Ovis aries: one gene and its partners. The protein of the gene in region 1 binds, or shares a complex with, the protein of each later gene. Links are inferred from orthologs where the notes say so. Each region holds a gene or a part of one and is shown in the gene's direction. Other genes may lie near its edges. The genes, in order: ARPC3, ARPC2 and ARPC5.

Region 1 (8,119 bases):
TTGTGATAGGTACTGGGGAATGGCTAATCAGTCAACAGATACTTCTCCAGCACCCGCTAATAACCCAGACACTGCTAATGGAAAGCAGAATCTCTTTCATTTAATCCTCACAGCAGGTCTAGGTTCCATTGGTGTTGGATCTTCCTACTGATGCAGATCAAGTCCCTGTAGAAAACCTGCAACTCAAGTTAAGTTTTTAATCATTCTTGGGCCTGGATAGCAGAAGTACGCCTACAGTGTCAAACTTGATCCATTTTCATTAAAGATGTAAAGTGTGAGGAGCCATAGGTATCAGGGGTAACTGATAGCAATGTGCCTGGGGGCCCAAGCTGGGGGCGAGAGTTGGGTATTGGCACCATAATCTGCTGGTGTGAGCTAATTCTCACAGGGGCACTTAGGAGAACATCAGTAGTAGACAACATGAGGACAGACTGGGCTTCTTAGGGAATTCTTCTAAGTCCTAGTTCAGTTCAGTCACTCAGTCGTGTCCGACTCTTTGCACCCCCATGGACTGCAGCACACCAGGCCTCCTGGAGTTTACTCAAACTCATGTCCCCTGAGTCGGTGATGCCATCCAACCATCTCATCCTCTGTCATCCTCTGCTCCTCCTGCCTTCAGTCTCCCACCATCAGGGTCTTTTCCAGCTCTTCACATCAGGTGGCCAAAGTATTGGAATTTCAGCTTCAGCATCAGTCCTTCCAGTGAACACTCAGGACTGATGTCCTTTAGGATGGACTGGTTGGATCTCCTTGCAGTCCAAGAGACTCTCAAGAGTCTTCTCCAACACCACAGTTCAAAAGCATCAATTCTTCAGTGCTCAGCTTTCTTTATGGTCCAACTCTCACATCCATACATGACCACTGGAAAAACCATAGCCTTGACTAGATGGCCATTTGTTGGCAAAGTAATGTCTCTGCTTTTTAATACGCTGTCTAGGTTGATCATAACTTTTCTTCCAAGGAGCAAGCATCTTTTAATTTCATGGCTGCAGTCACCATCTTCAGTGATTTTGGAACCCAAAAAATAAAGTCTGTCACTGTTGCCACTGTTTCCCCATCTATTTGCCATGAAGTGATGGGACCAGATGCCATGATCTTAGTTTTCTGAATGTTGAGCTTTAAGCCAACTTTTTCACTCTCCTCTTTCACTTTCATCAAGAGGTTCTTTAGTTCTTTGCTTTCTGCCATAAGGGTGGTGTCATCTGCATATCTCAGGTTATTGATATTTCTCCCTGCAATCTTGATTCCAGCGTGTACTTCATCCAGCCCAGCGTTTCTCATGGTGTACTCTGCATATACATAACAGAGTGACAATAAATAAGCAGCCTTGACATACTCCTTTCCCTATTTGGAACCAGTCTGTCGTTTCATGTCCAGTTCTAACTGTTGCTTACAGTTATGCTAATCTGCATACAGATTTCTCAGGAGGCAGGTCAGGTGGTCTGGTGTTCCCATCTCTTTAAGAATTTTCCACAGTTTGTTGTGATTCACACAGTCAAAGGCTTTGGCGTAGTCAGTAAAGCAGAAGTAGATGTTTTTTTGGAAATCTCTTGCTTTTTCTTTTTTCTGTGGCCCTCGAGTATGCAAAGGGCAAAAACACCCTGATCTAATGTTACTGTCATGTGAGAGAGTCAGAAAAATAAGACACCTTTTCATTTGCCCTCCTCATCCTGCTTGAGCTATACCTCCCTCATTTAGCCTTATGGAGAGTTTGGTGTGTGCTCAGATGGTAAAGAATCTGCCTGCAATTCAGGAGATCTGGGTTCAGGGTTCTCCAGGGAAGAACCCCTGGAGAAGGGCATGGCAACCCACTCCAGTATTCTTGGCCTGGAGAATTCCATGGACAGCAGAGCCTGGTGGGCTACAGTCTATGGAGTCACAAAGAGTTGGACACGACTGAGTGACTAACACACAAGAGGAGGCTTTTTTGATGGGAGCAAAGTAGCCCCACAGTCACCCTCATTAGAGGTTTCCTTGTGTATAATTAGTCTTAAGGGCCCAGTAGATCAGCTCGATCAGGGAAGACTATCTTTACCATCTGAGACCACCAAGGAAGTCTCCTCCTAAAAGGTAAAATTTGGCCAGAAATATAAATGAGAAATCAATTGTGGGAACATGGGACAAAGTAATTCCTTCTGTGGGACTGGCAAAAGAAATGGCCAGAAGCAGCAGTGAACTTGGCTTTTAACCTGAGGTGCTTTCCGGTAAAGATTAAGAATTCCTTAGCTTTTAGTATGTTCCAGGCATGTAAGTTCTAAGCACATTCCATGCAATTCATTTCCTCACAAAACTCAGGTAATCACTGTTATCTCCATTTTCAGATGAGGAAACTGAGGTATGGAGGTTAACTTGCCAAGGTGACACAGCCAATAAATGTTGGAGCTGGATTCAAACCAATTTTTTCTCAACCATTACACAAAGAATCGCAGTACGTAATCACACAAGAGTAGTACACAAATCCCTTCTGTGATCATTTTTTCCTTTTTAAAATCAGTGGACTGAGTTCCTTCTCTTACTCAACACATGTTATTGATGCTTACCTTGTACCGTCCTGTTACAGGTGTAGGGATATAAGCAGTGAACAAAACAGACAGTCCTTGCATTTTTGACGTTCATACGAATGGACAGAGACAAAACCCAAAAGTAAAACATGAATCATAAGAACTGAGGGAAAGGGCAGTGAAGTGGGACTGAATTTAGGATGACCCAGGGAATGCTACTGAAAAGGTGGTCTTGGAGAAAAAACGAAAGAGGTGATATATCTAGGATTCTGTAACCCCGAAATCCACCTCATTCTCGCCCACACTTCACGCAGGCGCGATACTCAGAGCCCCTGCCTAGGGTTCGAGCGCCCCCTGGTGCCCTGTCGGATCCGCGCAGCTGCAGCGGCTAGCCACATACTGCGAGGCCGGAAGCGCGGCGTCCTGCCCTCGCCCTCCCCTTCCGGCTCACTTCCGCCTACCCCGCCCGGGCTGCCAGACCGGAACCGCCGATCTCTACCCAGATTCTCTTCGTTGGGTTTGAAACCGGGGCGCCTCCAAAATGCCGGTAAGTGGGCCAAAGTGGGGGTGTCGGGAGACGGCGGGGATTTGAGAGAGTCGCGAGAAGTCTTGCGTGCGGTGAGAAAAGTAGGCCGAGGAGGGCAGAGAGAAAGCAGGGGCCTGAGAAGGGGAAAGGCCAGAGGAGAGGGACCGGCCTCTGTGGGATTAGGGCGGCCCGGGGATGTCGGCCGGCCGTGGAGGAACAGGGCATGGCAGAGTGGGCCAGAGACCCGGGGCGTGCTGAGGAGACTGCCACAGGTCTGCCCCCTCCTCTCCAAGCTTGATCCTTTTTATCGCTTTTTGCGCCTCTGCCCGTCCCCCCGATTCCAGCGGGGTTCCCAAAGCCTCACTAGAGCCGTGAAGGCAAGGGCTGCCCTTTTAATTTCTCATATCACAGCTAGGGCCCGGCTTCTTTTTTTTTTCCCTGTAGGCCCACTTCCTCCTTTGCCTCTGGAGGCGGGTCCCTTATGCTGCCTGTCGCCTGTCCGACCCCACTTCCCTGACTCCTCCTCCCCTGTCGCCCCGGCAGTGGCTGCCACCCCTGAGCCGCTGGGTTTAGGGCTCTCAGAGCAGGTGCAAGGTCCGCGCCTAGTTTCCACATGTTTGTTTAATGTGCATCAGAGTAGGAGTTAAAATTGATGGTGGTTTGGTTGTTCTTAATTTCTGACAGTCACGGGTAGATTTATCACCATCATGGTCTCCATTTTGCAGATGAGGAAAAAGCATGTTCAGTAACATGTGATGTTTAGCATCTGCTGCATGCCAAAGCACTATTACAGCGGTGAATAAGGCCAACAAGTCCCTATTCTTAAGGAGTCTACATTCTAATGAGGAGACATAATCTGTGAATGTGAATAAAATGGGGGGATTGTTTAAGATAGTGGCAAATGCCATGAAGGTAATAAGACAGCATAGCTAGTGCAGGTGAGACAAGGGGCTGCGTTAGGTGAAGCACATCGGTAATAAAAAGGAGTAAACCATAGTTAAGGTTTGGTGAATCCCATAGCTACCATTTGACTCCTGATGCATGTCAGGCCAACTCTGAGCTACACAGTTTGTATAAATTATTCCCTAATTAATCCTCAGAGTGATTATGAAGTGGATATGTTAGTGGTTTTTCATTTTGCAGAGGAGAAAGTTGAGGCTCAGAGAAGTTAAGTAACTTGCCCAAAGTTGCACACTAGTGTGTAACACACCAGTATGTGTGTGTGTGTTGTGTGTTTGTATTGGGGTGTAGTAGATTTAACAATGTTGTGATAGTTTAAGGTTAACAGCAAAGGGACTCAGCCATATATATACATGTATCTGTTCTTCCCCACACTCCCCTCCCATCCAGGCTGCCACATTACAATGGGCAGAGTTCCATGTGCTGTACAGTAGGTCGTTGTTGGTTATCCATTTTAAATCCATTTTCGCATAAGTTAAAGTTAGTCACTCGATTGAGTCTGACTCTTTGGGATCCCATGGGTCCTACTAGGCTCCTCTGTCCTAGGCAAGAATCCTGGGCTCCTCCTCTAGGCAAGAATACTGGAATGGGTTGCCATTTCCTCCTCCAGAGGATCTTCCCAACCCAGGGACTGAACCCAGGTCTCCTGCATTGCAGGCAGATTCTTTACCATTTGATCCACCAGGGAAGCCCTTAAATACATAAGCACGCTAGTAAATCTTGATAAAGCCAGATTTTAAGCCAGAACCCTAATGCCTTGTACTCATCATTCCAGGTGCACAAAGAGCACCCTTGACCTCCCCTGTGATGACTTACTTATTTTCTGTCTCCTCTATTCACCTGACAGAGCCAGGGCTGGTCTTGCATGCCAATATCTCCACATGCCTTGCACACAGAAGGTACTTAGTAATCTTTTGATGAATAAATGACTGGGGCCCATGTTGTCTTACAAAAAGCCAGACATCTTGTAAAATGCCGAACTAGAAATTGGCCTATAAATTGTTCTCATAAATGTGATTTTTTTCCTCTCTCCGCTAACTCACATCCACCCACTTAAAACAAGTATATATGTTTTTATTTTACAAATGTAGAAATAGGCTAAGAGAAGAAAAGTGATGTCTTAAGGCATAAAGCCAGAAAGTGGCAGAGCTGAAGAGCCAGTTCTTTGATTGTGGTTTTAACACCAGCTGGGTTGCTGGGTACCTCTGATTTATATAGTGTTTGCCTATTTCTATAGTGTGAATACCTCACCAGTTACCAATGTTCTGTCACCAGATGTGAAATTGGAAGGAAAGCACAGTAGCACCTTATCATACAGTGTTTCCACCGTAGGTGCAAAAGGCATAACTAACCTTAAGATCACAGACATTGGTAAAATAATTTTAAAATAGGAAATAATGAAAGTGTCAAATATTTATTACCTTTGTTTTTAATATAATTTATTTAATTGAAAATTTCTATAACTTTATTTTTAATAATGGCTGTGTTCAACAATTAGCTTGCCTCAAATTTTCTCAGAATTCCTGAAACTTTGATAGTTTTCATGAGCCAGTTTATCTTGGATGAATTATTTTTTTCCTTGGGGAAGTGTACTTGTTTGCCCCAGTGACATTTGCTCTCTTTCTGCTTCTGTGTTCTTACCTGGCTTGTCCTTACAGGCTTACCACTCTTCCCTCATGGACCCTGACACCAAACTCATTGGAAACATGGCACTATTGCCTATCAGAAGTCAGTTCAAAGGACCTGCCCCTAGAGAAAGTAAGTCAAAACCCCTTTCCATTATTTTCACATTTTGGTATGAAACCCTCTGATGTTAGCACATCAGGGAAATCTCAGATTGCTCTTGTATTTTCTATTTGCTTGATGGATATTGTGCTTTCCACCTTCTCAGATCTTGGGTAGATGTTGCATTTAATAGGAAACTGTATTATTGCTGCTAGTTTCTCTGGGATATTTTGTTGAGAGAGAAGAGGAAATGTGCTTAATTCTCAACACTCTTCCTATCATCACTGTCAGTTCTTACTAATCTAATGCTGCTGCCTCTATAAAACATCGTGTCCCCATCCTTTCTGTGTCATCAAGCTGGAAAAAACAAAGCGTATTTTAACCTCTTTCTTTATCTAAATCTGCTTCCTTTGTCCATTCTTCAGGACCCCAGTTTTTACCAATACCTCAGTCTTAAGTGTCCTGTATAACATTATTCATTTCTTCTCTTGCTTTTCTGAATTTTGTATCTTTTGCTTTCTTTCTTGGCACTCACTTGTTTTTTGGAGCTTTTTTTTTTTCCCTCTGTTCAGAGTGCCTCATTCTTTTCAGATACTATCTGAGACTCTTCTGACGACATTCTGAGATGTTCTGCCAACAGTGTAATTTGTGTTATATTAGACATGGTTTCCCTGCAGCCAGGAAGGGTCTGCACTGAGTTCCATTTGTGGTTTCCAAGACCATAGTTTAGATAACTAATTTTGTACTGACCCTGTCTCCATTCTTCTGGCCAGTTTATTTGACTTGACTTCCTCTTAATTTAGTTTTGTTTTCAATACCAGTTAAAGCTCAGTAAACTTAATAAATTTGGTGAGTCACCACAATCTTGTTCTGAGATGGAAAAAAAAGCCACCAAAAACAGGAAAAATAATGTAAAAGAATGACATTATTCTTTTGCAGAGGAAGAATAAGGATCAGTGTTTGACCAGATTACTTCCCAGATTGTGCCAAAATACCATATAGTATATCAGAAGATTTAATTGACCAGTGAAGTGACTTTAATTACCACCTTTGCAATTCTTGGGCCCTTGAGAGAGAATGGGACTGCAGGAAACTGGAACTTCATGATTTCTGTAGTTAAGAGTAGCCTGTTACTCTTCCCTAGGGGGCTGGAATAGGACTGAATTGGAATTATGGAGAAATACAAGCCTGTGCTATGGACTAAGTAACTGTTAGCATTAATCTAGTTATTTACATTCAACAGATATCTTTTGAACACCTTATATATGCCAAATGCTCTTCTATGTTCTGAATCCTATCAACTAGCCTGAGTCCTATCAGCTGGCCTCTTTCCCTTCCTCTGCAACATGACACTAGAGCTAGCTTGTTTTTTGTAAGTACTGTGGGATCATAGAAGGAAGTTTCTTTTTTAGCAAATAAGAGACTAGATCACAGGGAACAGAAGTCTAGAGTTAGAATTCTTTGGGGGACTTCTGTGGTGGTCCAGTGGTTAAGACTGCAGGGGGTGTGGGTTCGACCCTTGGTTAGGGAACTAAGATCCCACATGTCCAAAAAAATTTTTTTAAAGGAGGGTAAAAAAAAAGAGTTCTGTTAAAATTCTCCAGCAGGGGAATGGGCAAAGATAAAGACAACTGGATTAGAGTACAAAAGCTTCTGCATTTCTGCTGTGTGAGAGGGATAGCAGTCAGCGTTGCGAAATGAAAATAACCGTTTCTACATTGCTAAAACCAGCTGCCGGATATCAAGACCCTGGGATTGTGACCTTTTTAAAATAAAAAAAAGGAAAACCCAAAAAAAGCCACAGAAATTTTGTAATGAGATCTGTCTTTGTTGCAATAGTACTTCTGGTTTTTCTCAGTCTCTAGCCACCTTGAGCAGATTGTACATATTTGAAGTCAGTTTTTATAAAAAGAAAGATGTATGTGTGAATCCCAGTACATTCCTAAGTGAACAGCTGAGAGTTTTTTCCCCTAAAGCTATAGTATGTAAGTTCAAATAAAATTGTATGGCATTCTTTGTGTTGGGTTGGCCAAAAAGTTCATTGGGGTTTTCTGTAACATCTTCTGGACAAACTCGAATGAACTTTTTGGCCATCCAGATTTTTTTTTTTCTTTTTTTTTCATCCAAATATTTTTAAGAAAGCAGTTTATTAAATTTAGTCTGTGTCTCAGTCTGTTTTTGTAAATGCATTGAGAAATGTCTGGAGTGATGTTCACCAAATGCTGAGCATAGTTATTTCTGGGTAGCGAGATTAGGGTGACAATTCCTTTTTATTTTCCTGTATTGATTCATTTGTTTCTCTAATGAGCGTGTATAATTTTTATAAAGACAATAAAGCTGTCTGAATAAACCATGTGCCTATTTTTCTGGAAATTCTAAAGACTTTGTTTCAGTAGCCTGATTGTGT
Region 2 (6,286 bases), on another chromosome or scaffold:
GCAGGTGTGCCAGAGTGTTCCTGTTGCCGGTGCCATGACTGTAGGAGGCATGTCGTGGGGCACTAATACAAGTCATGTGCTGTTTGTATTTTTATACAGTAATCATTTTCCTTTTTTCCCTGTTTTATCTAAATCCTCAGGGAAAAAAAGGATAGCCCCTGGAGTGAAGTAGGAGGGGTTAGGGCCACATAAGCCCTGCTAAGCAGCTAGTTGGGGTTCTCTGTCCTTTGGCGCCTATTGGGTTTTTTTGCTCATTAGACCAGAGCTCCAGCCGTGATTTACTTACCCACTTTCCCTCTGGAAAGATTGACATCCACCCCTCTCACAGTTTGCTTCAGCCTAGTGAGCTGGTTCATTGGTAACAGCTGACAGTTTAGAATCGCAGCTTACACACACACTGACCCTGACAGCACTAAGATGTCCCCTTTTCTGGAGTTCTGCAAGCCACCATAGTGCTGAAGACGCATCCGTTTATCGGAAATAAGCAGGCTGATTAACCAGGTTTCCTTAAGTCTAGTCTACATGCTTTTTTTTTTTTTTTTTTTTTTGGCACGTTACTCTCTCTGAGGTTGGGACAGCCTGTTAACAGTTTAATTAGCAATGTCTCTCTTTGTGGTACATAAACTGATGGTGAACTTACAGTCATTAGCATCTCAGAACCCCTGCAGTATAGTTACCTCCTGGCCTGGTGCTCTTTTCTCTTGTCTCTCTTTGTTTCTCTTTGTCTCTCTTTGTGGTACGTAAACTGATGGTGAACTTACAGTCATTAGCAGAACCTCTGCAGTATAGTTACCTCCTGGCCTGGTGCTCTCTTCTCTTGTCTCTCTTTGTTTCTCTTTGTCTCTCTTTGTGGTACATAAACTGATGGTGAACTTACAGTCATTAGCATCTCAGAACCCCTGCAGTGCAGTTACCCCCCCTGGCCTGGTGCTCTCTTCTCTTGTCTCTCTTTGTGGTACGTAAACTGATGGTGAACTTACAGTCATTAGCATCTCAGAGCCCCTGCAGTGCAGTTACCCCCTGGCCTGGTGCTCTCTTCTCTTGTCTCTCTTGGTCTCTCTTTGTGGTACGTAAACTGATGGTGAACTTACAGTCATTAGCATCGCAGAGCCCCTGCAGTGCGGTTACCCCCTGGCCTGGTGCTCTCTCCTCTTGTCTCTCTTGGTCTCTCTTTGTGGTACGTAAACTGATGGTGAACTTACAGTCATTAGCATCGCAGAGCCCCTGCAGTGCGGTTACCCCCTGGCCTGGTGCTCTCTCCTCTTGTCTCTCTTGGTCTCTCTTTGTGGTACGTAAACTGATGGTGAACTTACAGTCATCAGCAGAGCCCCTGCAGTGCGGTTACCCCCTGGCCTGGTGCTCTCTTCTCTTGAGGGCAGGTGGACCCACAGCGGTCCCACCCTTTCCTAGGTGGCATTTCTTTTCGTTTCAACAAAACCTGATGCTCAAGAACTTTGCTGATGCCGAGATCACTGAGTAGGATAGATGCAGAAGATAGAGGGGATTCCCAGAAGCCAGAGGGAGAGGCGTGCAGGTCTGCCCAGGTGTGAAACTGAGTGACTGACTGCACAGGACTTCATGGGGTCAGGCAGTGGCAAGGGCTTTTCTCAGCCCCCAGCCAAAGCAACTCATCCTGCCATTCCTCCTCAGGAATGCTCAGGTTCTTGTCCCTTCCTGTTTGGTGTTCACCACAGACTACATGATCCTCTATGGATCTAGTTTCTCTGAAAGCTTACTCTGCTTCGGCACCAAGGTCCTGCAACAGGCAGGCTTTGTTCTCTAATCCCCATTGCTCCAGAGTCCACCCAGGTAGCCAGTTGTGTCGTTTTCTAGAGAGACTTCTGAGAGGCAGAAGCTAGTAGATTTCACAGTGCACGGCCGGAGAATCCAGACCCGGAATGAACGCCAGGACCAAGCCCTTTGCCGAGGGAGCCCTGGTTTTTGGCCATGGTCTCCTCCATTTACACTTACTGGCAGAAAACCCTAATGAAACAAGTGGACGGTCCCAAAGCAGGGCAAGATGGGAGCTGACAGTAGGCTGCTGGTCTTTCCACCCTTTGGCATTGGTGTAATTAGACCTTGACACCTTGTCTGTGCCCCCACTCAGTGCTGTTCCCTCGCCATACCAACGCCAGTGCTCGAGACAACACCATCAACCTGATCCACACGTTCCGGGACTACCTGCACTACCACATCAAGTGCTCGAAGGTGAGTGAGAGCAGCCTCGGCACCGGCGCTCTGCGCCATTCTCTCCACCAGAGCTCATGGCATAAAGTCCTCTCTGGTATAGGCTATTGCTAGGAACTCTACAGAGATGGTTCTAGAGGCTTTGAGTCATGGCCTTTCTCCATCTCTCTCACTCCATAGCAGAGAGGTGAATATATGCTTGCTTGCACAGCCCTATGTCAGCCCCAGGGTGGATGTTCCCAGACCTTTCTGATAATTTCTGCTACTTAGAGCAAAGCTGTCTTTCTGGAACATGACTCTGCTTCAGTACCCATTATGTTTGCCTCCAGGCCTATATTCACACACGTATGCGGGCAAAAACATCAGACTTCCTCAAGGTGCTGAACCGTGCACGCCCAGATGCCGAGAAAAAGGAAATGAAAACAATCACGTGAGTAGCACCATCCTGCAGCAGGACTGCCTTCCTCTCCTAGGCTTACCAAGGAGGTCATGGGTGTCGGTGACCCAGGTGTCTGGGCAGTGGCTGCAGGTGAGACAGGCAGCGGGGCGCCTATAGCTGCCTGGCAGACTAAAGATGGGACAAACAGGTTTTCACATCTGAATGGGCCTCCTTGTTTCCACATCTCTGTGATCGAGGATAGTGGCTGCTAGAAAGAAACAGGCCTTTTTGCCAAGATGAACTATGTTCTCTTTGGGTCTGAGTTGACAGGCCTATCTTAACTGTCTTGATATCTTGTAGAAATGGAATAATCTGCTTGAGGACATTTAGTTGCATAAATAGGCCTGGAACTATTCCAAAGCATTCTTTTTCCTGGTCCAAGTCTTGGCAGGAATTTTGCCTAAAGAGGAGGTCGGCTTTATCTGAGATAGAGATGATGAGGAGTTCCTAAAGGGTGCAAGACACTGTCCTCAGTAGAGCAGCATGGTCCGGGGCCTGGGGGTTTGGTTCTGTGCCAGGTGCCAAATCTTGGAACCCCCTCTGGTAAGGTTTAGGCCATCCTGTTCTCCAAGTAGAGCAATGGGTGCTGGTCTCCTATCACTTGTTCCCATTGAATTAAATGTCTTGAGGTGAACTAAGCCTCCCCACAACCCACACAGCCATTTCCAGCACCCCACACTCTTGGGATAACCTTCTATAGGTATGTTGTGCCTATGCCTTCAGGCTCCTTCCCTTGGCCTCTTATACCAAGCTAGTTTTTGTTGCCATTTAACAGGATGAGAGAGGGTCTGACTCTTGGGTGCCTGAGCAGAGTGCTTATAATCTCAGAAGCATCAGACATTTATACAGAGCAGTGTAAGTCACCCCTGCCTTCTATACTTGAGAGGCTGCCTGTCTCACTAGGAAATTGATCCCAAAGACCTTTCTCTAGAATAGCTCTTCCCACTGCCCAGAGCCAGCAGTGTTCAGTCCACAGCTGGATCCTCTGCTTAGAGAGAAGTGCCCACGTGCCATGGCAACACAGTGGCAGCATCGTTCCTTCTACTGTGCAGCTTTATGGCACAGCCTAAGATGGGCAGAACTCGAAAGGTAGGGAGGCAAGGAGGGTGTGTCTTGGGGGCACGTGCTCTTGCTGCCCTGCAGACTCTTACCTCCATCATGGAGTTGACAAGTCTCCCTTTTCTTTCCCTGCTTGCTTCTCTCACTCACACCATTTTGGTGACCCTGAGTGTGAAGCAGCCAATTTTGTGCCACTTTCAGAGCCCCGTTCAGTAGAGGCCAGGAGGTGAGCCAGCAGCCAGTACAGCAGAAGGCAGCCTGACCCGCCAGCCTGTCGCACACCAAACGAAGGGCTGGGCGTCATAACAGTCACGAACCTCTCCTGTCACCTTCAGCCCTGTAACTGCCTGTCCATTCAGGAGAAGCGCCCACCAGACAGCCACTACCCAGTGTCTCCCCACAGGGCTTCTCCCCTGGTTCCGTCACACAGCCCGGCAGCCTTGGAGTGTGGGGTTACTGCAAAGCAGGTGCAGTGGAAGGGCAGGAACAACTCCCTGTCCTGATGGGGGACTAAGAAAAGATGAGTCCTTGAAATGAGCCAGTCGTCCATAAACTTCCTTCCTGGAACTTAGGAAGAACAGCTTTGCCTTTTTCCGTCCTGTGATCTCTCTTTGGCAGAGGTGAGCCCCAGAAAGGAGAAGCAGGAGGTAAACAACCCTGAAAACCAGATTGAGTTCCCAAAGCTAGGCAGGAGAAGCCAGGACCCTTCTTCTGCTCTGGGTTCTTACAACCCTTCTGTGATCAGAAGCCAGCCATCAGCACTCCACAGAGCTCTGCTGGAATTGAGCTTTCTATTGGGGAATGGATAACAAAATATTTTAGCTTCATCTGTGGTAGGGTAAGACATTCCAGAGAGGAAAATCTTAGTTCCCGTAGTCCTCCGCTCTGGTTTCCAGGCTTCTGTGCCAGATAGGTACCCTCCATCTTTGGGAACCGTCCCCAAAGTTGGCCATTCTTAGAATGCTGGGTAGGACAGGACACCCCGGCTCCGGAGCCTTAAGCGAGGCAAGTGTTTTGTGACTGAGTGTAGTCACCATATGACAACACAAAACACGCTTAAGCTTGGAAAGTTTGGAGGGTTGCTGCTTGTGACATTTTGGCCCCATGGGGGAAAATTTAAGGAACTGCTCTCTGCTAGCCTGAGAAGGCATAAGCTGTGTTAGGAGGACCCCAAATTCTTTTACTCAGAAGAGGGTTGAGACCAATCTAAAATGCAGGTAGATCTAGGCCATGCAGAAATTGTGGGCAGGTGATTTGCCTGTCTAACTTGGTATATTTACTGTCCTCATGGGCTTATTACTTAGTACCCTGAAGTATTCAATAGGAAGAAAGCTGATGGGTTGTTTCTGCGAAAGCTGGACCGTAACCCTTGCCTGGAGTTCCACATACCTCTGCTTGAAAAACATTGACCCCCATCTCTAGTGCAGAGCGTGGGGTGGATGGGAAGGTGAGCAGAAACTAACCTTCAGACTTAATCTCTGCTTTTGAAGGGGGAAGACGTTTTCATCCCGCTAACTCTTGGGAACAGGAAGAGGAAGCGGCTGGCAACTGAAGGCTGGAACACTTGCTACTGGATAATCGTAGCTTTTAATGTTGCACCTCTTCAGGTTCTTAAGGGATTCTCCGTTTTGGTTCCATTTTATACACGTTTGGAAAATAATCTGCAAAAACGAGCTGTGCTTGCAAGGACTTCATGGTTCCCAAGAATTAAAAAAAAAAGAATTCCACTTGATCAACTTAATTCCTTTTCTTTATCTTCCCTCCCTCACTCCCCTTTCCCGCCCCTTCTTTTCCAAGCTGTTTTGCTTTGCAATATGTTACTGGTAATGAGTTGCAGGATAATGCAATCTTAACTTGTTTTCTCTAAGTATTTGAGTTCAAAACTCCTGTATCTAAAGAAATACGGTTGGGGTCATTAATAAAGAAAATCTTTCTATCTTACATGAGAATTCACTTGGTTTTGGACTGGGAGTCCAAAAGAAAAGGAGGGACGAAGGATACATCAGTACTGCCCTTGAACCTGCAAACGTGCGCTGGAGAGGCTTAGGTTCAGGTTCAGTAACCCCACCCCCACCCTCCCTGTAGAGGAGAGAGAGGCTCACTGGTAAGCTCTTGGTTGGCATTTCTAAGTAAACTTGAACATTCACCGTAAAGCTTTTTATTTTGTCTCCATCCAGTTCATTGTTTCAGACTGGTTTGAAACTGTCAGTGAATTGTGAAATCTGACATTTCCTCAACAATTATGAGGTATTTGTAAATTAAGCACCATTGTAAGAAACAGTGCTGAAATCCTGTAATACAATAGAATTGCCAGGAGGGAGCTGATGTTGACACGATCACAACCTTACTCATATTTCCCCAGTTGTACATGCGACTCATCTGTGTGTGTGTGTGTTGTGTCCTGTGTGTGTGTTTTCCACATATGTGACTTCATCTTCAATGTTTTAAAGTGGAATAGTAGATGCTGTTGTGTCATATATGCTGAGTACATCACTCCTATTATAGGTAAGTACTGATTCTGAAATATGTCTTAATTGTGGACATACTGACTAGGTTATAAAAACGTCTTTACTGTGGGTCATGGTCAGATTTGAAGGGACA
Region 3 (7,934 bases), on another chromosome or scaffold:
CTGGTTTCTTCACATACACTCATATACACACAAAGAAATTTCTCTAAAGCTTTATATAGAGTTGACTATTAGCTAATGAAGATGGGAAGATAATTAAAAACCTCAACCTCTAAATATGATTCCAAAATTAACTTGTCAGATTAATTCATTGGCTAGAAAGGCGTTGAGCACCCACTGTGGACTAGGTATTTATTATTGTGAGACAAAAAATATGCACTGGAAAAGGACATTTTAAACATAATTATATCTGAAATGTAATATGCATTATGTGACTGAGAACTAATTAATTATATTTAACACATTTAACACACCCAGCATAATTCAAAACAATTATACCCTTGAACAACTTGAGTTTTAAAATTCCCCTCATTATTCCCTTAAGTTGATTTCCACTCTGGTATTCTTTCCCAGTTCTAAAAAAAAAAAAAGAATAAAGAAATTTCTTAAATAAGCCCTACTTATTTAGAATAGAAATGGAAGAGAAGGGATGTATTAGTTCTTGAATTCTTGTTTCCATTTGCTCTCAAATGTGCTTCTAATGTTCAATTTTCTCTTCAGAGAAAATCGTGACTTACAAAAACAAAAAGTACAACCATCTTTAGCATTTAAACAAACATATTATTCAGTTCTTACTAAAGTCACCAAAGATTGAAACTCAGAAAAAAACATTTAAAAAATCTTTATTCTAGGTTATGTAATGCCATTCACCATAGTAATGATCTGATACTTTGGTATAAGACTTTTTAAAATATATATTGCCAACAGGTAGAAAATTTTCCTTGGCTGTCTTAAGACAGCCTTTGAGGGAGTTTTCAGCAGTGTATTGGCTCATAACTTGAGTGGTGATTTAAATAAATGTCACTTCTATCACTTAATGATAATCTTATTGAGGGTACTTTAACTGGGAAAAGAAAATGCCATGTTGCTTCTTCCTCCCAAGAAAAAGGGGTGCATTTCATTCTGGAAGTATCTACCTACCATCTAACTGTCTACCTATCTATCTCTACATACATATGTATATAGATACAAATTGATATAGATACAGCTATATATACACATATGTATATATGTCCAACAAAGGTTTGACTTTGAGATGTCTTCCTCTTCTAATTCATTATTCTGTGTGACGCTCAAACTGTACTGCCTTTCACATTTATTCATTCATCAATGAATAATTGAGTGTCTGAATGTACTGAGTACCCTCTGCATGCTCAGTTTTATGTGAGACGTAAAGGAAGATGCAATATGTATGCGCAACTGAATCACTTTGCTGTACACCAGAAACTAACACAACACTGTAAATCAACTGTACTTCAGTTCAAAAAGAAAAGAAAAGAAATAAGACAGTCTCTGCCCTCCAGAATTTTTCTCTCTCTTCCAGGGGCAATATATCACACAATATATCATTAAACAATTTATAAGACTAGTGCCAAAATCAATGGTACAGATAACATGCAATTTGCATTGAGGCAGACTTTTAGAGTTTCAAACAATTTCTTGTGTTTAACCCTCAGAACACTATTGTTAAGTACACATTATTAGCCCCATTTTAGCAATGAGGAACTTGACATTCAGAATTTTAAGTGGCCTGCCTCAATCAATAGGTTATGAGTGGAAGGAAGAATCAAGACTCAAGCCAAGGTTTTCTGATTATAAGCCAAGTGCTATTTTCAATTACAGTACAGAAAACCAAGGATTGAGGCATTTAACAGGGCAGCAGCCAGCCCTCCGGTAAAGGTGGAATTAAACTAAACCTGATAAATATCCAAATTAATTTCACTTTGCAAATATTTGTGCTTCAGTGTTAGACATAGCACCCAACTACCATTTCCTCAAATTTAGTGCTTTAGTGCTCTTACCTGCTCAGGGAGAGCTTTGCTCGCAGAAACGGGGGTGTCAAATACAATAAGACGCTGGCCTAGGAGGATCATATAAATCTTAAGCGATAAAAATAAATCTTAAAGATCTGGTTTCAACTAATCCTCACACATTTTGTTTCGCCTCAGAGCCAGAGTGTAACTCGCCCCTACCCTTTTCTAGCATTCTTACTCCAAATAACCACTTATTTTAAGATGTCAATGGCTGACCCTACCCCAAATTCCACAGGTTCATCCCAGTCCTGCCACCGGACCCTAAGCCCCTGCCCAGACACCTCCCGCTTCTCCCCAGTTTATGATACCTAGGTTCGAGTTCTGCAGGTGCAGTCGCTTGCCATTACACAGCACTGACAGATAAGATGTGACCTTTCGACTCCGTCCTTGGGGACCTCAAGCTGGCCGCGCAGCGTAGTTCCACAGCCGAGAAAGGGGCTTCCCGGCTCGGGAACGAAGCCACGGGGAGTAGACGGTCCGAAGCGAGGTCTCTGACAACTCGAACGATGCTGAGCGACTGGGCGTGCATCACTCCGCCCCATACTCCTGCCAACTGCAGGAGACTTGGTCCGGCAACCAATCCATCCCAGCTCACGGGTAAGTCCGTGCCAGCCGGACCTTAAGCGGGACCCCGATGACAGGCTGTTGACGGCGGCGGCGGCAGCAAAGCCAAGGCCACCTGCCCCCAGCGCCCATCGCCGCCAACCTAAGACCACCCCCCCCCCCCCCCCGAGACTGGACCGCAGAGAAGCGTTTCTATGGAAACCCCCTAGGGATCACGTGACGGACCCGGAGGCCCAATCGCCTCTTACCTCTACAGGCGGCACCGCTTTGGGCCCTCCCTCCTGCCCCGCCCCCTCCCGCCCCCGCCTCTGTCGCCCCGCTCCTCCCCTTTCCCGCAGAGAGTCCGCACATGCGCGCTGCATCCAGCGCGCTTCCGCCCCGGCGCGCCCGGCTGTGGGGCGCGTGGGGGCGGCGTAGGAGGGTCGAGGAAGGCGCGAGCCTGAGAAGGAAGGAGCGCGGCCAGCGCGCAGGCCCAGAACCACCCGAGACGCGGCTGCCGGCTACGCCTCTGAGCGGAAGAGGGAAGTGGAGGCGCCAGTCTGCGGCTTCCAGCTGGGGCTGGGCTTGCTAAGGTCGAGGCAGCGTCTAGAGGAGGCCTCGGCCGCCGGTCCGGAGCGGGGATGTCGAAGAACACGGTGTCGTCGGCCCGGTTCCGGAAGGTGGACGTGGATGAGTACGACGAGAACAAGTTCGTGGATGAGGAAGACGGGGGCGACGGGCAGGCCGGGCCCGACGAGGGCGAGGTGGACTCCTGCCTGCGGCAATATCCTTCAGTTCGCTGGCCTTCGCGCCCCACCCGACCCCACCCGACCCGGCCCCTCTTCCGGGACCCAGCTGCGGGCAGGGCGTGAGGGCAGGGACCCCCGCTTCCGTGGGCTCCCTGTCGTGAGTGGGCAGGAGGGCTCTTCTATTTCTCCCGAGACCCCCGGGTCCCGCCCTCGGAAACTTACCTTGCCAGCGCGCTGTCCACGCCCCCGATTCCTCAGGTTGCGCCGGGAGTTCTCGCCTCCCGGGGACCGGCGGGGACGGCCGCGCCCTCGCGGCTCTGGTGCTGGTCAGTCGGGGAGCTGCAGGGAGCTTAAGTGGTCCTCTCAGATCGTATTTATCGGGTTTTCATTAGAACCCACGTCCGATCGGGAGGAGCGGGCATTTTTCTTCAGTGATTTTCTTTTTATTGTGGTGGTGGTTTTGTTGTGGCAGCGTTATTTCACGCCGGGAGACATGGGGCGGCTTGCAGAATTGAGGCCCTTCTGTCTGTCTTTTTAAGCTTGTGGACGCCTTTTTTTTTTTTTTTTTAAGAGGAAGGGATTTGACAAAATACAGGTTGCACAGAGTTGGTTAACCAGGGGAAAGGGAATGAGTACAAAACTGCTCAGAAAGAAGCTGGAAGCGTTTTACCTGCTAGACGGAAAATGCATGTAGAGAATCCCTGGAAATATTTTAAATAAACGCCAAAGAATAACATAGGAAAAAGTGAATCATTTGTACAAAACCGAATCATTTTGTAATGATGGAATCGTTTCCGTTAAGTTAAAATGTGGCTGTCAGTTCCTGGTTTGGGTTTTGCATATTTGAATATTCATAACTTTGAGGGAGTATTTGCATGAGCTCTTTTTTCGGAAAAAATGTAAATGTTGCAATAACCCAGGCTGTCGTTTTAGAGATTGTCAATTACTGAATTCACTCATTTCTAATTATTCTTGGGTGTATTCATAAGATTAGGAAGGCTCTTTAGACTTTCCTCATCAGTGGCCTATTAAATTAAATGGGGAAATACATGAGTGAAAATATTTGGTAGCAGCCACAGCTGGTCTTACAGGCACCTAAAATACAGCATTAAACATTTATCAACATACAGATGTTTCTTTGATTTCCGTTACTTTCACAATCAGCTGTTGCTGTTTTGCATTATTTAACATACTTAAGTGTTTGGGGTGGAGGGGAGCAGTCTCATAAGTGAGCCAGTCTGCAAACGGGACGCTTCTCTAGAAGTCCATTAAGCCTTGAAAATAACAGCCTGCCACCAACCATAGTTTTTTTAGTCAGACCTTTTTCTTTAGAACATAAGTGGTGAAGATTATTCTGTGTAGAAACATTCTTCGTGATGCATAAATGATGTTTTGTGAGACTAACTTTTTTTAGGTGACGTGATGACTCTTCAATGGTACTGCTGTATCCCTATAGTGGATCTGCTTTTAAATCAATTCATCTTAAAAAAATAAATAAATAAAATAAATCAATTCATCTTGAAATATAAAGATACTGTCCCTTCTTGTCTCAACAAGAAGAGACAAGCCCTGATCAGGCACTACAGATGGAGGAACAAGTGAACTCTGTGAGGTTTTCCTTTTAGGGCAATGACTGTACATTCTGACAGTGTGATTGGCCTTCTGTTCCTCATTCTTGCTAACTCACTGGTGCTTTCAAAGGAAGACTAAATTTAATAGGTGTGGCCTAAAGCAGTTTGAATGACCTTTATGAAATATGAGAGAAAATATTAAAAAACAGAAAAATTAAGCTGCCACCTACAGGTCATTATTTTATCTTCTGTAATGCCTCTTAACATCAATATTGAGAGATTGCTAATGTATATCATTCAGATTGCTAGAGTAATCTGCCAGCACTTTTCTACCAGCATTTCAATTAATATAGAATATAATTCTAATCAAAGGATAGGCAGACAGTCTGTTTCATTTGGGGACCTAAATAATTCTGATATATATTTTAGAATTTTTTAAATGTCACTCTGGATAATGTTTGCACATGTGTTTTACTGGAAAATGAAAGGTTATTAAGGTGCTCAGTTAATAATTAGAGCCAAGGGTAAAACAGTTTTTGCCTTATTTTTTAAAAATTTAATGCTCTCTTTCATTTTCAGTATTTTATCTTTGATTGACATCCTTGAAACGAACATGTTGAATTTTCCAGTATTGAACGTAGCAACCATAGTAATTTTTCTTTCTATGCATAACACCAAATCTCAAGAACCAGTGGTTCCTGGGAGTTCCAGTGCTTTCCTGAGGGCTGCCCTTTGCTGCTATCCCCTTAACCTCCATCACAGGAAACATGACAGCTGCCCTACAGGCAGCTCTGAAAAACCCCCCCATCAACACCAAGAGTCAGGCAGTGAAGGTGAGTCACAGACAACACACGATCTGTGCTGGCGTCTCAGCCTTCTTACCAGAACCCTCCAAAGTGTCTCACAAAGTGTCAGCAAATGTCTTAACTGTTTGCCGTCTTTGACATAGAAGAGCTTACAATGTAGTTTGATAGGTGGAAAACCTATATAAAAAATTAGTGCTCCAAAATTGAGTTGTGATAACGCTGCGTGGTAGGTAGACTTAAGTTCTAATGACCGAGACATCTGTGTGTTTTCAGAGGAGGCCACTCAGGTCGAATTTGAGCAAAGGCTTGAAGAACAAGTGAAACTTTCACAAAATAAACACATGCTACTTGCTTTTGAAAGATTTTTTAAAATTCTACCATTCTCATAGAATTAAATTCTAATATTTAATTCTGTTAAATATTATTGAAAACTCAGAAATGTGGGGGAATGAAAATAATTATAATTCCATACCTGTAGATAATCATTACTTTTTGTTGTTGCTGTATGCTTATAGAGTTTTTCTATGAGTTTTTCTTTTCATTAAAATAGATAAACTGCTTTTCATCTGTATAGCAGCATACATGAACAGCTTTACTTGGTAATAAGTTTATTTCTATAATATCTTTTTTAACATCTGTATTTTGATAATCCTGCAGTTTAGTTATATATAAACTTTCATCATATATTTATTGACTTTTTTCCTGTCATAAATAGTATTGAAATGAACAATTCTTGGTAAAGTCTGAATTGTTTCCTTTGAATAAATTTCTGGAAGTGAATGGCTGGATTTTAGACTGCACATTTTTTTAAGGCTACATATGGTATTGCCATACTACCCTTCAGAAAAGTTGTAAAATTACATTGCCTCTTAACCATCTTTCAGTAATTCTTAAGAACCTATTTACTTAATTGTTTAAAGCCCAGATTAAATTTTTTTTCTTTTTTTTTTCAGATTAAATTTTAATGTTTAGTTCTGTTAAGTATTGTAGAAAACTCAGCAATATGGGGGAATAAAAATGTAATCGTCCATAATCCCACACCCAGAGCATTGATCCCCCCACTGTCCATAGCCATTCACACATCCTAGGAGCCCCAAGTATCTCCTTAGTTAAATACTAGTAAATAATAACTTAGGTAAATGCATTATTATCTAGGCAACATAATCTTTTATAAGAGGAAATGCTTCTTTGGTTTTTAAAAGTGAGTAACGTCATTGAAATTTCGTTTTACCACCTTCTGCTTTTTTGTGGGTGTTTTTTTTTAATCAGAGCGTGTGGGTGGGAGGTTATAGCTCTCCATACAAGGATATTTTTCTAAACGGATAATTGCATAGTCTTTAAACTGAAGACAGCAAAAGGTGGTAGAAGCATACTGTAAGATCATGACCGGCAGGAATGCAGAAGGTATCACTTTGTGTTGAATAGAAAGAGAAACATTGTTGAAAGGGGAAATTAAGTGTTCTGTGTACTTGGCTTGCTAGGTGAAAAGCAACTGCTGTTGGAGCAGTCATTCATCAAAGAAAAAGATCATTATAAATGAAGACCACTCTAATACCTATAGTCACTTGACTATAGATGTGAAATGAAAAATAAGTTTTAGAAACTTAAATTTTTATTTATTAATAACATTTCTGAAGGATGCATCAGGGTAGAACTATAATTCAGTTTCCTTCTTTTGGTCTATTTTTTTTAAATCAAGAAGTGAAATGTATTGATTTAATACATTGATAATTTGTTACATCTATCTGTAAGTAAACCCTTTCAGCTCTACCTTCAAATATGTCGAGACTCTGTCTGCTTCTGGCTGCCTCTGCTGCTGCCATGCCAGCCAAAGCCAGCCTGTCTTGGTGCAGGAACTTCCAAGCTGGCTTCCAGGCTTCTGTCTCCTGCTCCCCCGACCCTCCTGCTGCCCCGGGCTTATTTTCAATATGACAGCCAGCTGGTCCTGTTAAAATGTAAGTCAGATGACATCACTCTTTTTAGAAAGAAAGAAAGCGAAAGTGAAGTCGCTCAGTACCATAGCCTACCAGGCTCCTCCCTCCATGGGATATGTAAGTCAGATGACATCACTCTTTTTAGAAAGAAAGAAAGCAAAAGTGAAGTCGCTCAGTACCATAGCCTACCAGGCTCCTCCCTCCATGGGATTCTCCAGGCAAGAGTACTGGAGTGGGTTGCCATTTCCTTCTCCAGGGGATCTTCCTGACCCAGGGATCGAACCCAGGTCTCCCGCATTCCAGGAAGACACTTTAACCTCTGAGCCACCAGGGAAGTCCAACAGCTTCTCATTTCTGTGACTGGAGGCCAGAGTTCTCATAAGGGCCTGCAGGGTTTACGCGTTCTGTCTTCCTACTGCCTCTCTGACTTCCTGCCCTGCACTCCACTCCAGCCCCCTTC

Evidence for each region.
Region 2: ARPC3 (region 1) and ARPC2 share a complex: the UniProt entries of both Homo sapiens proteins name them as parts of the arp2/3 complex. The link is inferred for Ovis aries from reciprocal best matches to the Homo sapiens genes ARPC3 and ARPC2.
Region 3: ARPC3 (region 1) and ARPC5 share a complex: the UniProt entries of both Homo sapiens proteins name them as parts of the arp2/3 complex. The link is inferred for Ovis aries from reciprocal best matches to the Homo sapiens genes ARPC3 and ARPC5.

What each region holds. Positions count from the first base shown.
Region 1 is NC_056070.1:54,361,954-54,370,072, reverse strand, and holds the start of ARPC3 (actin-related protein 2/3 complex subunit 3), read left to right. Parts: upstream 1-2,950; 5' UTR 2,951-3,042; coding exon of another isoform or gene 3,043-3,048; intron 3,049-4,834; 5' UTR 4,835-4,868; coding exon 4,869-4,886; intron 4,887-5,645; coding exon 5,646-5,745; intron 5,746-8,119. UniProt on the Homo sapiens protein: Component of the Arp2/3 complex, a multiprotein complex that mediates actin polymerization upon stimulation by nucleation-promoting factor (NPF).
Region 2 is NC_056055.1:220,289,279-220,295,564, forward strand, and holds the end of ARPC2 (actin-related protein 2/3 complex subunit 2), read left to right. Parts: intron 1-2,107; coding exon 2,108-2,208; intron 2,209-2,516; coding exon 2,517-2,617; intron 2,618-5,175; coding exon 5,176-5,200; 3' UTR 5,201-5,626; downstream 5,627-6,286. UniProt on the Homo sapiens protein: Actin-binding component of the Arp2/3 complex, a multiprotein complex that mediates actin polymerization upon stimulation by nucleation-promoting factor (NPF).
Region 3 is NC_056065.1:64,120,084-64,128,017, reverse strand, and holds the start of ARPC5 (actin-related protein 2/3 complex subunit 5), read left to right. Parts: upstream 1-2,968; 5' UTR 2,969-3,055; coding exon 3,056-3,199; intron 3,200-5,495; coding exon 5,496-5,567; intron 5,568-7,934. UniProt on the Homo sapiens protein: Component of the Arp2/3 complex, a multiprotein complex that mediates actin polymerization upon stimulation by nucleation-promoting factor (NPF).